2 linked regions of the Macaca fascicularis genome follow. The protein of the gene in region 1 purifies or fractionates together with the protein of each later gene. This does not show direct contact. Links are inferred from orthologs where the notes say so. Each region holds a gene or a part of one and is shown on either strand. Other genes may lie near its edges.

Region 1 (6,973 bases):
CAATTATCCACAAAGGCTTTGATGAAAGGCATGCGTACATAGGTGGCATGTTTGGAGCTGGCATTTATTTTGCTGAAAACTCTTCCAAAAGCAATCAATATGTATATGGAATTGGAGGCGGTACTGGGTGTCCAGTTCACAAAGACAGATCTTGTTACATTTGCCACAGGTAAGAGATCACTTGTTCTCATTTATTTTGGTAATAATCAGATAAGAACTAGTTACATTTTTGAGGGCGAAGCATTATGTTGGACAGCCTTAGAAATGCAAGCTAGGCATGTTTTTTGTTGTTGTTTTTTTATTATACTTTCTAGGGTACATGTGCACAGTGTGCAGGTTTGTTACATATGTATGCATGTGCCATGTTGGTGTGCTGCACCCATTAACTCGTCATTTACATTAGGTATATCTCCTAATGCTATCCCACCCCCCGCTAGGCATGTTTTAGATTGCTTTTGGCCCTCTCACCGATTATAATAATAGCTAATATTTATTAAATGATCCGTATGGGCCAATTACAATTTAAGCACTTGACCTGGTTGACTAATCATTAGAATATCTGGTGCCTTAAAGCATACTGAGTAGAAAGTAACATTAGGCATGAAAGAGGCTTTATTGTAGCCCTTGAGTATTGTAGGACTCTGTGGACTCTTTAAAAATCTAGTATTCAAATGCTAAAATGGCATTATTTGTCAAGTCTAATTATTTGATCGCAGTGCCTGAGCCTCTCTTCCACTGTGATACGATCCTAATCTTCAATTTGCAATACTACTATAAGAACTTAAAATTAAAACAATGATCCTTTTCGAAAGGAAATAATAATCAAATAACTACTTTGCACTTTTTTTCCACTTTTAATTACCTGTTCTAACTCACTTGTTAAAAATCATTTAAGTAATTTGTCCCTAACTTTAAAAATCCTTATAGGCAAAAAGTTATGCCATTTGAAAAATCCAGTAAGATTAATTCCTGAGATTTATTCAACAGGGCACTACTTAATGAATATATAGAGCAGTAGTTTATCAAGCATTAGCATGCATTAGAATCACCTAGATGGCTTGTTTAAATCACAGATTCTTAGGCTCTACCTTCTCAGTTGCTGATTTAGTAGATCTGGGGTGGGGCTCTAGAATTTGAGTTTCTACCAGGTTCCCAGATGTGACGCTGTATTTCTGACCACTGATCTAGAAAAAACCCTTAGAGCAGTATTTTGCACTTTGGCAGCACATTGGAATCATCCAGGGAACATTAAAAAGCTATTAATGCTTGTGTCCCACCCTCACAGAATCTCATGTAATTAGTCTGGGGCATGATCTGGATATTAGAGTTTTTTAAAGCTTCCCAGCCAATTTCAAAGGACTTCCAAGCTGAAGAATTGCAGTCATGGAGGGAAACAGGTTCTTTCTTTGTGTTTGTTTTGTTCTTACTGTTATCCCTCTAAATTTAGGACTGCATAGGTAGTACACAGTAGGCTCTCCTGTGTGGGATCTCCCGCTCACTTCTATTTTAGATCATAAATTGGAGTGGTTAGGAGGCATGTAATTTCCTAAGATTTTGTAAATTTGAACACTGCTGTTTTTATTTGTCATATATGGTCTGAAGGATAAATAGTTCTAATTATTAGTAATAAGCAACATTCTAACACCTCCCTTTTCTTTGGAAGATAGAACCATCAACTGGTCTACTGACATCTCCTGTTATCTTCTAAAAGGAAACAATAACATTAATACTAAAAGGTTGTTTGAAACTAAGAAAGGCCAATCACATGCCTGAGAGAAGTGGGAGGATAATCTACTGAAACTGGTGGTGAGGGGAGACCTATCTAAGGAAGTACCATTTCAGGGGAAGTCTGAAAATTGAGTGGGTATCAGCCAGTGGAAGAGTGGTAAAATAGATCCCATTCCAGTGATGGAGAAAATTATATGGATGGGGACCATTAATAAAGGAAGTTTGGCCTTTGTGAAGAAAAGAAAACTAATGTGCATGGGGCAGAATGAACATAAAATGAGATTCAAGAAATTGAAGCCATTGTACAGAATTTCTCCCAAGTACAGTGAGCAGCCTCTAAAAGGTTTTAAGCAGAAAAGTGATTTGATCTAATTTTTGTTTGTTTTAATTACTTGGATGGGAAAGGTTTGGACAGGAATTAGAGAAGAAACAGGAAGACTGGTTTAGAAAGCCAATGTGTGATAGTCCAGGTGAAAATTTCAGTGATTTGACTTAATAGTGACAGTAGAATGAAGAGTAAATGGATTTCAAATATATTTTGAAGGTAAAAAATCAACTAGACTTAATTAGATATGTGTCCAACTTTGCAAGCCACTTGATGGAAGACCCTTAAACCTTCTCCTTCCCACTTTGTCATTGACTTGTGTTTTTTGCTGAGACACAAACAAGGTGGTAGAGTCTGCATCTCTATAAGGTTATTACCTTTTTCAGGTTTTATAGTTAAAATAAGGACTAACTAAATTGACAGATTATTTCATTAATAAGAGTAATAGAAGACATTCTTAAAAAGTTCTTTTAGGGGTAAAATGATAAAAACAATTATAAGTATTTATTAAAACTTATGCCGTGTCCACACATTGTCATATTTATGTGTCACGTTTGCCTTCAGGGTGATCTCTTCCTTTTCATTTTATAGGCAGCTGCTCTTTTGCCGGGTAACCTTGGGAAAGTCTTTCCTGCAGTTCAGTGCAATGAAAATGGCACATTCTCCTCCAGGTCATCACTCAGTCACTGGTCGGCCCAGTGTAAATGGCCTAGCATTAGCTGAATATGTTATTTACAGAGGAGAACAGGTAATGCAGTTTTATTTGTTCATCTTCAAAAATGCTAGAGAGGCATACTTTAACTTTTTACTAATCTCTTGACAAGACATACTACCTTAACTGGATTTTTTAAAAATTTTATTTGGAAATAATTCATATTTGGAAAGTTACAAAAATAGTGAAGAGAATTCCCTTATAACCTTTACCTAGATTTCCTAAATGTTAATATTTTGTTCTCTTTTTTCTCTTTTATCATTCACTCCTTCCTTCCTTGTGTGTGTGTTTGTACATTTTTTTTGTGAACTGTTTGAGAGTAAGTTGCAGGGCATATCCCTTTACCATTAACTATTTCAATTGTAAATTCCTAAAAACAAGACTTTATTCAAATTTTGTCAATTGTTCCGGATTTTTTTTAGCTCTTATGATTGAAATCTTGTATTTAACAGCCTGTCTGTAGCAAAGAAGTATATAATTGTGTTTTGCGCTCAGTGAAAGCCAAAAGTAGTTCTAGAGCAGTGTTGTGAACTGGGGGTAGGTATCGGAATCACCTCAGTTACTAAAATCAGACATGAACTTAGTATTCTTCCTAGACTTGCTGATTGAAAATCTAAAGAACTGTAGTCAGGGTAAAGATGTTTTGAGAAAATGTCCCTAGATGATTCTTATCTACAACACTAATTTAGAACCTCCTCCCTAAGACTAGGAATACTTACAGAAAGTCTATTTATCTTTCAGGAAAATTTGTGTACCATTATTTGAATTTGTCTTTCTCTTCCAGGCTTATCCTGAGTATTTAATTACTTACCAGATTATGAGGCCTGAAGGTATGGTTGATGGATAGTTATTTTAAGAAACTAATTCCACTGAACCTAAAATCATCAAAGCAGCAGTGGCCTCTACCTTTTACTCCTTTGCTGAAAAAAAATCTTGCCCACAGGCCTGTGGCAAAAGGATACAAATGTGAACGAAGTTTAACATTCTGACTTGATAAAGCTTTAATAATGTACAGTGTTTTCTAAATATTTCCTGTTTTTTCAGCACTTTAACAGATGCCATTCCAGGTTAAACTGGGTTTGTCTGTACTAAATTATAAACAGAGTTAACTTGAACCTTTTATATGTTATGCATTGATTCTAACAAACTGTAATGCCCTCAACAGAACTCATTTTACTGATACAATACTGTGTTCTTTAAAACACAGCATTTACACTGAATACAATTTCATTTGTAAAACTGTAAATAAGAGCTTTTGTACTAGCCCAATATTTATTTACATTGCTTTGTAATATAAATCTGTTTTAGAACTGCAGCGGTTTACAAAATGTTTTTCATATGTATTGTTCATCTGTACTTCATCTTACATCGTCATGATTGAGTGATCTTTACATTTGATTCCAGAAGCTATGTTGAGTTGTTACTTGGGAAAGATTGAGTTATCAGATTTAATTTGCTGATGGGAGCCTTTACCTGTCACTAGAAATCTTTCTCATTTAAGAACTTATGAATATGCTGAAGATTTAATTTGTGATATCTTTGTATGTATAAGACACATTCCAAAGAGCTCTAACTATGGCAGGTCCTGATTACTAAATAAGCTTCTTTACTGGCCTCAATTTCTAGCTCTCATGTTGGAAAATTTTCTAAAGTCATTCTGTGAAAATTAGAGCAAAGTGCTCCTGTTTTTTAGAGAAACTGAATCTTGCTGTTGAACAATTACTGTGTTCTTTTCGTGGAACATAAGTAGGATGTTACATTTCCAGGGTGGGAAGGGTAATCCTAAATCATTTCCCAATCTATTCTAATTACCTTAAATCTAAAAGGGGAAAAAAAAATCACAAACAGGACTGGGTAGTTTTTTATCCTGAGTATTTTTTTTTCTGGTTCTTTTTACTTGGTTTTATTGCTGTGTTTGTAGCCAATCTATACATCATGGGTAAACTTAACCCAGCACTATAAAATGTAGTTGTCTCAGTCCCCTCCAGGCCTCCTGAATGGGCAAGTGCAGTGAGACTGGTGCTTCTTGCTCCTGGGTTTTCTCTCCATGATATTATGCCCAACTGGAAATACGCTCTCAGTTTGTGCACCATGTGGTGACCAGGCCTGTGTTCAGTTTGGCAGCTATAGAAGGAAATGCTGTCCCATAAAATGCCATTCCTATTTTCTAATATAAAACTGTTTTCCAGGAAGCAAGCTTAAGCATCTTGTTACAGAGACATACATCCGTTACGGCTTGGCAATCTCTTTTACTTGTTGACTCTAGCTCCCTTCAAAGTCGAGGAAAGATCTTTACTCACTTAATGAGGATATTCCCCATCACTCTCTGTACCAGTTCACCTTTATTTTACATTTTATTCAGTCTGTAAATTAACTGGCCCTTTGCAGTAACTTGTACATAAAGTGCTAGAAAATCATGTTCCTTGTCCTGAATAAGAGTTGATCAGAGTAAATGCATTTCTGGAGTTGTTTCTGTGATGTAAATTATGATCGTTATTTAAGAAGTCAAATCCTGGCCTTGAAGTGCTTTTTATACAGCTCTCTAATAATTATAAATATCCTAAAGTCATTTCTTGGAACACAAGCGGAGTATGCCAAATTTTATATGAATTTTTCAGATTATCTAAGCTTCCAGGTTTTATAATTAGAAGATAATGAGAGAATTAATGGGGTTTATATTTACATTATCTCTCAACTATGTAGCCCATATTACTCACCCTATGAGTGAATCTGAAATTGCTTTTCATGTGAAATCATTGTGGTCTGTGAGTTTACAATATTGCAAACTGTGTTATTTCATCTAATCAATTGCTTAATGAGTGTGTTTTTCCATGAATGAATATACCGTGGTTCATATGTTAGCATGGCAGTATTTTCAGATAGCTTTTGTTTGTTGGGAAGTTGGGGTTTTGGGGGGAGGGGGTGTATTAGTACGTTGCATGAAATAGCTTACTTTATGATGATGGAATTGCTTTTTCTTTTGTCTTGTGATTTTTTTTTTTGAAGTGAAATTTAACTTTTTGTGCAAGTAGTACTATTATACCCATCTTCAGTGTCATACTTGTATTGTATCACATTCCATACCCTCATTTAATTCTTAATAAAACTGTTCACTTGTTTTTCTGGGTAGCATGGTAATTACTGGAATAGTATAAATGTGTTGAATGGTCTTTGAGAAAATGAATTAAGATTACAATAAACCACAATTGCAGGAAAACAATGTAGTTCTGAGTCTAATAGTGATAAATAATGCAGTTTGAAGTTTGAAATATTGAATATTGTAGCTGTACTTGCTCATTAAAATGAAAGTAGCTGTGAGATGCTTTCAACATTTAATCTATTCAGCACAACTTTGGTAAACCTTGAAGCTCATTCCTGGGAAATTAATCTTCTTAACTTATAAAAAGAAATATATTTTTATTTCTATGTCATATGAAAACATTCTTATAAGTTTCCAAATCTCAAAGTTAGTGGTATTTATTGCTATTAAAAGAAAGTATAATCGCATGTGTATATTAGACTTCAGTATGTTAAGTTTCGTTGTGTGTAGGCCGGGCGCGGTGGCTCAAGCCTGTAATCCCAGCACTTTGGGAGGCCGAGATGGGCGGATCACAAGGTCAGGAGATCGAGACCATCCTGGCTAACATGGTGAAACCCCGTCTCTACTAAAAATACAAAAAACTAGCCGGGCGAGGTGGCGGGCGCCTGTAGTCCCAGCTACTCGGGAGGCTGAGGCAGGAGAATGGCGTAAACCCGGGAAGCGGAGCTTGCAGTGAGCTGAGATCCAGCCACTGCACTCCAGCCTGGGCAACAGAGCGAGACTCCGTCTCAAAAAAAAAAAATATATATATATATATATATATACACACACATATATAGTAATATAATATATATTGATTGTATAACCTTTCCCAAATAAGTTGTTTGTTTGTTTTTTTGAGTCTCGCTCTGTCGCCCAGGCTGGAGTACAGTGGCTTGATCTCGGCTCACTGCAGCCTCCGCCTCCCAGGTTCAAGTGATTCTCCTGCCTCAGCCTCCCGAGTAGCTGGGATTACAGACCTGCGTCACCATGCCCAGCTAATTTTTGTATTTTTAGTAGAGACGAGATTTCACCATGTTGGCCAGGCTGGTCTCAAACTCCCAACCTCAGATGATCCACCCGCCTCGGCCTCCCAAAGTGCTGGGATTACAGACATGAGCCACTGCGC
Region 2 (7,073 bases), on another chromosome or scaffold:
ATTCAATGTTAATTTACCTAGACTTTTGCCAAAGACAGATAAAAAAGAAAACTGCATATTCTGTTACAAAGTTAACAGGTTTAGGTAGCCCCAATTCTGCCAAACTGACTCATCACCTACTAACTCAGAGAATTTATACAGTTGACCCTTGAACAATGTGAGGAATTAAGAGTGTCTACCCACTGCACAGTCAAAATTCCAGGAAAACTTTTGACTTTCCAAAAACTTAACTGCTAATAGCCTACTATTGGCTGGAAGCTTTACTGATAATATAAACAGTGGATCAATATATATTTTCTATGTTGTATTACATATTGTTTTCTTGCAATAAACTAAAAAAACGAAAATGTTATTAAAAAAATCATAAGGAGGCCGGGTGCAGTGGCTCACGACTGTAATCTCACCACTTCGGGAGGCTGAGGTGGGCAGATCATGAGGTCAAGATATCAAGACCATCCTGGCCAACATGGTGAAACCCCATCTCTACTAAAAATACAAAAATTAGCTGGGTGTGGTAGCGCACACCTATAGTCCCAGTTACTTGGGAGGCTGAGGCAGGAGAATCTCTTGAATCCGGGAGGCGGAGGTTGCAGTGAGCCGAGATCGCACCACTGCACTCCAGCCTAGTGACAGAGTGAGACTCCGTCTCAAAAAAAAAAAAAAAAAACCATAAGGAAGAAAAATATATTTACGTTCATTACGTAGAAATGGATCATCATAAAGGTCTTCATCCTTTTCAGGATAAGGAGAAACAGGAGGCATTGGTTTTGCTCTCTCAGGGGTGGCAGGGGCAGAAAAAAAAATTCTTGTATAAGTGGAACTGCACAGTTCAAAGCCTTGTTCAATGGTCAACTATAATTTCAACTGGGCACAAAATAGGGCATACATGTAATACTTAGAACAGTCATGTGAAGAAGTCCTCAGAAAACATCCATATTATTTGAAAACAAAGATTTTTTTAAAGTTGGAGGAGAAGGGATGCTTTTATTTTAACCAATAGGGGGATGTAAAACAACAGCATAATTTTAACTGCAGGCCAGAATTAATTTGCCAAACATAAATAACTCAAACATACATAATTCCTACTGGAATGAATGACTTGTAAATTTTACACCAAACTTAATATGATGATCTATTAAGAAGGTAACATAAAAAAAAAGAAAAAGTCTAAAACCAAATTAGATACTTTGCCCCTAACAATTCTGAAGGAAAAAAAAAAAGTGACAAGTAAAACTTAAAAATATACAAAGCGGTTTAGGGATTATCAATGAATTTAAATCTTGACCCATTCAAATAAGTGAAAAATAAATACAACTAAAAATGAAGTAATATTGTACCATTTATAATTTGTAACAACTCCAAATATTCATACTCCCACTTTTCAAGTCAGTCACAAGATCAAAGTCGAGTTTTTTCAGGTAATAGATTCAAGCAAGCGATTATCTTTAATCAAAGAAAAAAAAAAAGAGCATGTAACATCAATATAAGTACATATAAAAACAAAGACAAATATCAATTATAAATATTTGAAGACTTACTGTATTTTTCCAATTATTAACAGCTAATGTCAGATTTTTACCATTTATTCAAAATACACAAAACAGGAAATGTTCTACATGAAAGCACTTAGTAACAGAAAAAATACTTGAAATGTTCCCACTTTTAGTATACAACTCAAAAAAAAAATTATATATACATAAAAGGAGTAGATAAATCTAAATGTGAGTTAGCAGACGCATCTTAGTATTTTTTATGAACCAGTCCCAAATTGAAATATGTAACTAAATGCCCTAATCATCGCCTGCTAAAAATTAGCTGAGAAAAAGAATAGGTCATACTTGGAAACTTCAGACAAAACTCATTTCAACTAAATGGGGTCTGATACTTTATTTTAAAGAATCACTTCCCTTTAAGACGTTACTATGTGGCAATCTACTTACTGCCTTCACAATCTTTATACTAGCGCATTAAACCCTTTAATTTTTCTCAAAACAACAAAAAAGTGGGCTTTGCATTTTATTTCAAAACATGAGATGTAAAAGTGAACAAATACTGTCTTTTAATCATATCACACACAGATGTTTCTTAGCCAGCAACGATTTCATAAACAAGGAAGCTCTTTGGCAAATTATCTGTGTGACCTTGGTCAAGTCAAAAGACCCCCAGTCTTTTGTTATCTCATCCTACTGTATAATTCTGTAATTCTAAGTTCTAAATGCTTTAATTAGCAGTCAGTTAACAACACTTTGGATTTGAATTAACCCAAAAGGTCATACGCCACAAAAACTAAACACAGTCCATAAGTAAGCACAGGTGGTTGTAGCCAAGTGTTACATAAATTGGTTTCTATATCTACAAAGATGTTGTTCCACAAATTCAGATTCCTCAGGCACAAGGCAACCAGATAAGAGAATGGAAAAGGCTCAGTACCTTCTGTTACTAACACAGGAGAAAAATACGCATTCGAATTCCTAACTGTCAGAGCTGTTAGATGTTTCCTGGTAGTATATGGTTAACATATAAAATAATACTCTTTAAACAGATCGATATTGTGAAAACAACATATTTAATATCCTTTTCTTCTTTTAACTCAAAATATCGTTTTGGATCCTTTTTTAAAAAAGTCTGTTCCTTTCCTCTGACAATTTTAAGTTGGTGGAGACTGAAACAAAACACTTTGTAAGTTGACATCTCCTTTTAAAAAAAGTTAATTTTTTCTTTCTCTTGTCTAAAAGACCAGCTATTTGGAGAAAGTTTTCCTGATGATTATAATTCTACCAAGTTTTGAACAACCAGCGAAGAAAAAAAAAATATTTAAATGTATTTCCATTCTGCCCACATGACACACTGGCCCATTTGAGACATAAATTCTAAATGAAAGATTGGACTGAACAACATCCTCCACTCTAAGATATACAAGGCACCAAAACAAACACATCCAAAATCTATTTTTAGAGTGGTGTTTCACTCTTCCGGTTTTCTCTTTAAAACGAGATTTACTTGACCTATTTTCAAGTGTTTTTAGGGCACCCAGGCACTCTATACAAACAGTATTTGCTAGTCATAAAACAGCAAAGCAAAAATCACAAATCCTGGTATTAGTGTGGGACATTTTCTCCATGTGTCCTTACGTGCCATGTCTTTTAAAAGTCTAAATATAGATTCACTGACTAAAATGTCCTAAGTCTTCCAAATTCTATAATTATATACTGGATTGAATGCCATCATACGTTCACATCCCATTTGAAAAGTACACACACGGGGTGGGGGTGATGCGCCCAGTACCTGAAACGTCAATCATACAAAGAACAAAGCGTTCCCTATCTTTGGGCTTTCTTCTCACCTCAGTTCTACATTGTTTCAATATTACAAAAATATTAAACAAAATGTTCAAAACTTGAGATATAAGTGCTCACTAAAATGGCACTTGTAGAAAAGAAATTAAAACGTATACCAAAATGATTAACGATAAAAAATTCTAGTTGCCAGGATGTGTGTGTAAACTTACAGTCCTGTAGGTTTTACCTGTGGAGAGGACGGTTCCTTCTCCACACTCTTAAAAACAATTTTACATTCTTTAGAAGCCTTCGCAAAATAAATAGCGACAACAATGGAAGACCGACACTCCTCTCATGGGATGGAGGGTAGGAAGAGAACTCCCCACCCAACAAACAGAACAAAGCAACAGTCTCAGCTTTCAAGATGCACAGAGGGTTTGGAGGCTCAAGGGATACTGTGAGATCTCTTAATTGTTCCGATGCTTCAACAGCCGTCAAAACAACTAACAATATGCAGCGCTGGGCTTCACTAGAACAAGGTGCAGGGATTGCTCTCTTCGTATTAGCCAAGACCAAGACACCGAGGAGGAGGAAAAAAAGGAGGAAGAGAGAGAAGAGAAAGCAGCAGCCAGAGACACTCCGGGAAAAGACAAAAATGCAGACTGTACGCCCTGGCTTCGATCTGACCCAAGGCCTAAACTGTCTGACCCCACACGGGAAACAGGGAGCAGGCTACTGTCGAAAAACCATCGCCGCCCCTACACCTCGAGGCCAGGAGGTCCCCGGGTAAAGGCCTGAAACCACGGCCCAGGGGGAGGAGAGGGACCCGCCTGCCACCCGAGGCAGCGACGCGGGCTCAGGCGGAAGACGCTGCGCAGTAATGGCCGCTGCTCCGCCCCTCGCACCCGGACCGAGACCAGCTCCGGCCGTCACCTAGGGCAGGGGCTGCGGGGCCCTCGGGCAGCGCATGGGCTGTCACGGTCGTCTTGCCTGCCCCAGCAGCCAAGGCGGGGGTGGTGGAAAGGGCTGAGCTGTCCCATCCCGCCTCTGCGCGGACAGCCGGGGCCGCGCCAGCCCAAGGGCGTCCATCTACGTACCGGCCCCTGACCCCGCCGCCGCCCCTCTCAGGCCCCGAGCGCAAGGCCGACCCGGAGTACGTTGCGGCTGGAGGTGACACCGCGAGGTATGCCTCCTGTCCCCGAGTGAGGATCCTGGAGTGGCCGGCGTTCACCCTGCTCCCCCGAGAGGGCCTCGCTCCGACTCCCACCTCTCCGGCCACAGCTGCGGCCACCTCGCAGTCTTTTCTCTCTGGCCTCGGAGCCCGCAGCGGCCGGGAACGCGCGCGGCCGTCACGTGACCACTCGGCGCGTCACGGAGGCGGGGCCGCGCGGGGCGGAAGCCGTGCCGCGCACCCGCGAGCTGGCTCCGGCGTCTCCTTTTTCTGTCCCTGCATCGCTTCGCTGCCTTCCCGCACTCTCTTGCTTGTGGGGACCGGCGACTTCCCTGCTTGGATTCTTCTGGCTGCTTTAGAGTGTGCTTTAGTTGTATTAGGGCCCAGAGGCACTGAAAGAATGCAGTTCCAGCAGAGAGAGGTTTGGGGTGGAGGAAGTAAAACGTGTGTAGGCCCGGCAGGTGGTGCTGCTCAAAAATCCAGCTTTGCTATCCCGAGGAAGCCCTGGGGCGCCTAGCTGAGTTTCGGCTTGAAGATCCCTTAGCAAAAGTACTGCTTGTTCCACTTCAAGAAAAAAAAAAAAAGGAGGGTCGTGGGCGGGGATGGAGGGCAGAGAGTACTTTAGGACTTTCCAATTTATTCACCTTTTTAATGGTTGAGCAATTTAATACGGGAAAAAATTGGTATTTTATTTTGAGCCCTCCCCTTTTTAAAAAAACAGAATAGTGCCTGAGAAACTGAAGAAAGAAATTAATCTGCGTGAGAATCTAAAATTAAATAGGTTATTTTGGTCGCAAGCCTGTGGTTTTAAACATCAGACCTCTAGCAGTAATTCACCGTTTTAGCATGTACGTTTCCTTTTTCAGAACTGATAAAATTTTCCTAATGTGTAGGAAAATGAAGAGGGTGGAAGAGCAGACCTTTTATCTTTAAAAGAGTATGTATTTCAACATTCTGTGACAGTGTCTTCTCGCATTTTGGGATTTCATTAACTGATTCAGGATTGGAAGTTTTCAGTGCCCTTATAGGTATAGAAATGTATATGTTTTCTGTTATTCCCCTGAAATCAGTTTATTTCAGGGTTTTTATTCACATATATTAATATGTCAACCAATCTCTTGAAGGGTGCATCTAGTTCAGTGATGCTTGTGCATGTATGCAATACTGTTTTTCTTATAAGTTCTATACATGTAGAAATATTGAAGTGTATATCCTTTAAGCTTAGTTTTCTATCTTTATCTTCTTATTAGCCACTCAGTTTTGTCCCTGTATCCTACACAGCCCAAGAACAGAGAATCGCTAAAATTTGATATGTACTCGAAGATTCCAGCTTAAAGAGGTAATGCTAGTATTAACTAACGATGTACCGGGTGTTTCTCTAAGTGCTTTATTCATATATACCCATTTAATTCTCCTAATAAACTATGAGGTAGACACTATTATTCTTCCCATTTTACAGAGAGAGACACACAGCTAAGATTTGAATCCAGGCACAGACTGTAAGATGTCAACTAGTTCCACCTCTTCTCACTCATACCCAGGGTCTTTGTATTTCAAATGGCTGCATTTTTCCTTGTTCAAACCCATCTTTAATTCATCTCTTTTATGTCTTATATACATTGGCATATAATCTGTTGGCTCTTCCTTCAGAGTATATCCAGAATCCAACTGCTTACCACCTCCACTACAATCTGCATTATCACTTGTTTGGATTATAGTATTATGGTAGACCAAGAACTAGTCTTTTCTTTGACTCTGTTCTCAATACAGAATCCAAAATTACTTAAAAAGAAGTGAGATCATATCACTCCCTTACTCAAAGTCTCCTATGGCTTCCCAACACAAGTACAAACCAAAGTCCTAACAATGACTTTAAAATCCTCCCCTCATTACATCTTTGACCCCACAGACTGTTTACCCAGCTTTGTATTCCCAGAAAGCTCTCCACAGGCTCCCAACCTCATAGTCTTTGCAGTTGCAGTTTCCTCTGCTTAGAACACTCTTCCCCGTCATGCTCCCTCCATATGTGCTCAGATGTCCAACTCTTCAGTCAGTCCTTCTACTTGTCACCACATTTTAAATCATGACATTTCCCATTCCCGATATTTCATATTTCCTCCTTTACTTTTTAATACTTATCACAATGTAATGGATAATTTATTTTACTTACTAATCTTCATCATATGTCTCTCCACATTAGGATGCAAGACTTGGGAGGCCAGGAATGTGTGTTCTATTTTGTATCTCAACTGCCAGGAATAGTGCCTGACCCATTTAAAGAGGTTCTCTGTAAATATGTGTTACATGAGTGAATGAATGAATGAATGAATGAATACACGCATGGCCGGGCACGGTGGCTCACGTCTGTAATCCCAGCACTTTGGGAGGCCGAGGTGGGCGGATCATGAGGTTAGGAGATCCAAGACCATTGGGGCTAACACAGTGAAACCTCGTCTCTACTAAAAATACAAAAAAATTAGCCAGGCATCGTGGCACACGCCTGTAATCCCACCTACCCGGGAGGCTGAGGCAGGAGAATCGCTTGAACCTAGGAGGCGGAAATTGCCTGAGATCATGCCACTGTACTCCAGCCTTCACTGCAACAGAGCGAGACTCTGTCTCAA

Evidence for each region. Proteins that work in one complex are often made in the same cells at the same time.
Region 2: the proteins of TNKS2 (region 1) and RNF146 purify together in Homo sapiens (co-immunoprecipitation; 3 studies listed by BioGRID and IntAct, with this or other methods). This does not show direct contact. The link is inferred for Macaca fascicularis from reciprocal best matches to the Homo sapiens genes TNKS2 and RNF146.

Annotation. Positions count from the first base shown.
Region 1 is NC_088383.1:100,650,010-100,656,982, forward strand, and holds the end of TNKS2 (poly [ADP-ribose] polymerase tankyrase-2), read left to right. Parts: coding exon 1-169; intron 170-2,644; coding exon 2,645-2,801; intron 2,802-3,549; coding exon 3,550-3,612; 3' UTR 3,613-5,982; downstream 5,983-6,973. UniProt on the Homo sapiens protein: Poly-ADP-ribosyltransferase involved in various processes such as Wnt signaling pathway, telomere length and vesicle trafficking.
Region 2 is NC_088378.1:31,211,990-31,219,062, reverse strand, and holds the start of RNF146 (E3 ubiquitin-protein ligase RNF146), read right to left. Parts: upstream 4,607-7,073; 5' UTR 4,376-4,606; intron 1-4,375. UniProt on the Homo sapiens protein: E3 ubiquitin-protein ligase that specifically binds poly-ADP-ribosylated (PARsylated) proteins and mediates their ubiquitination and subsequent degradation. May regulate many important biological processes, such as cell survival and DNA damage response.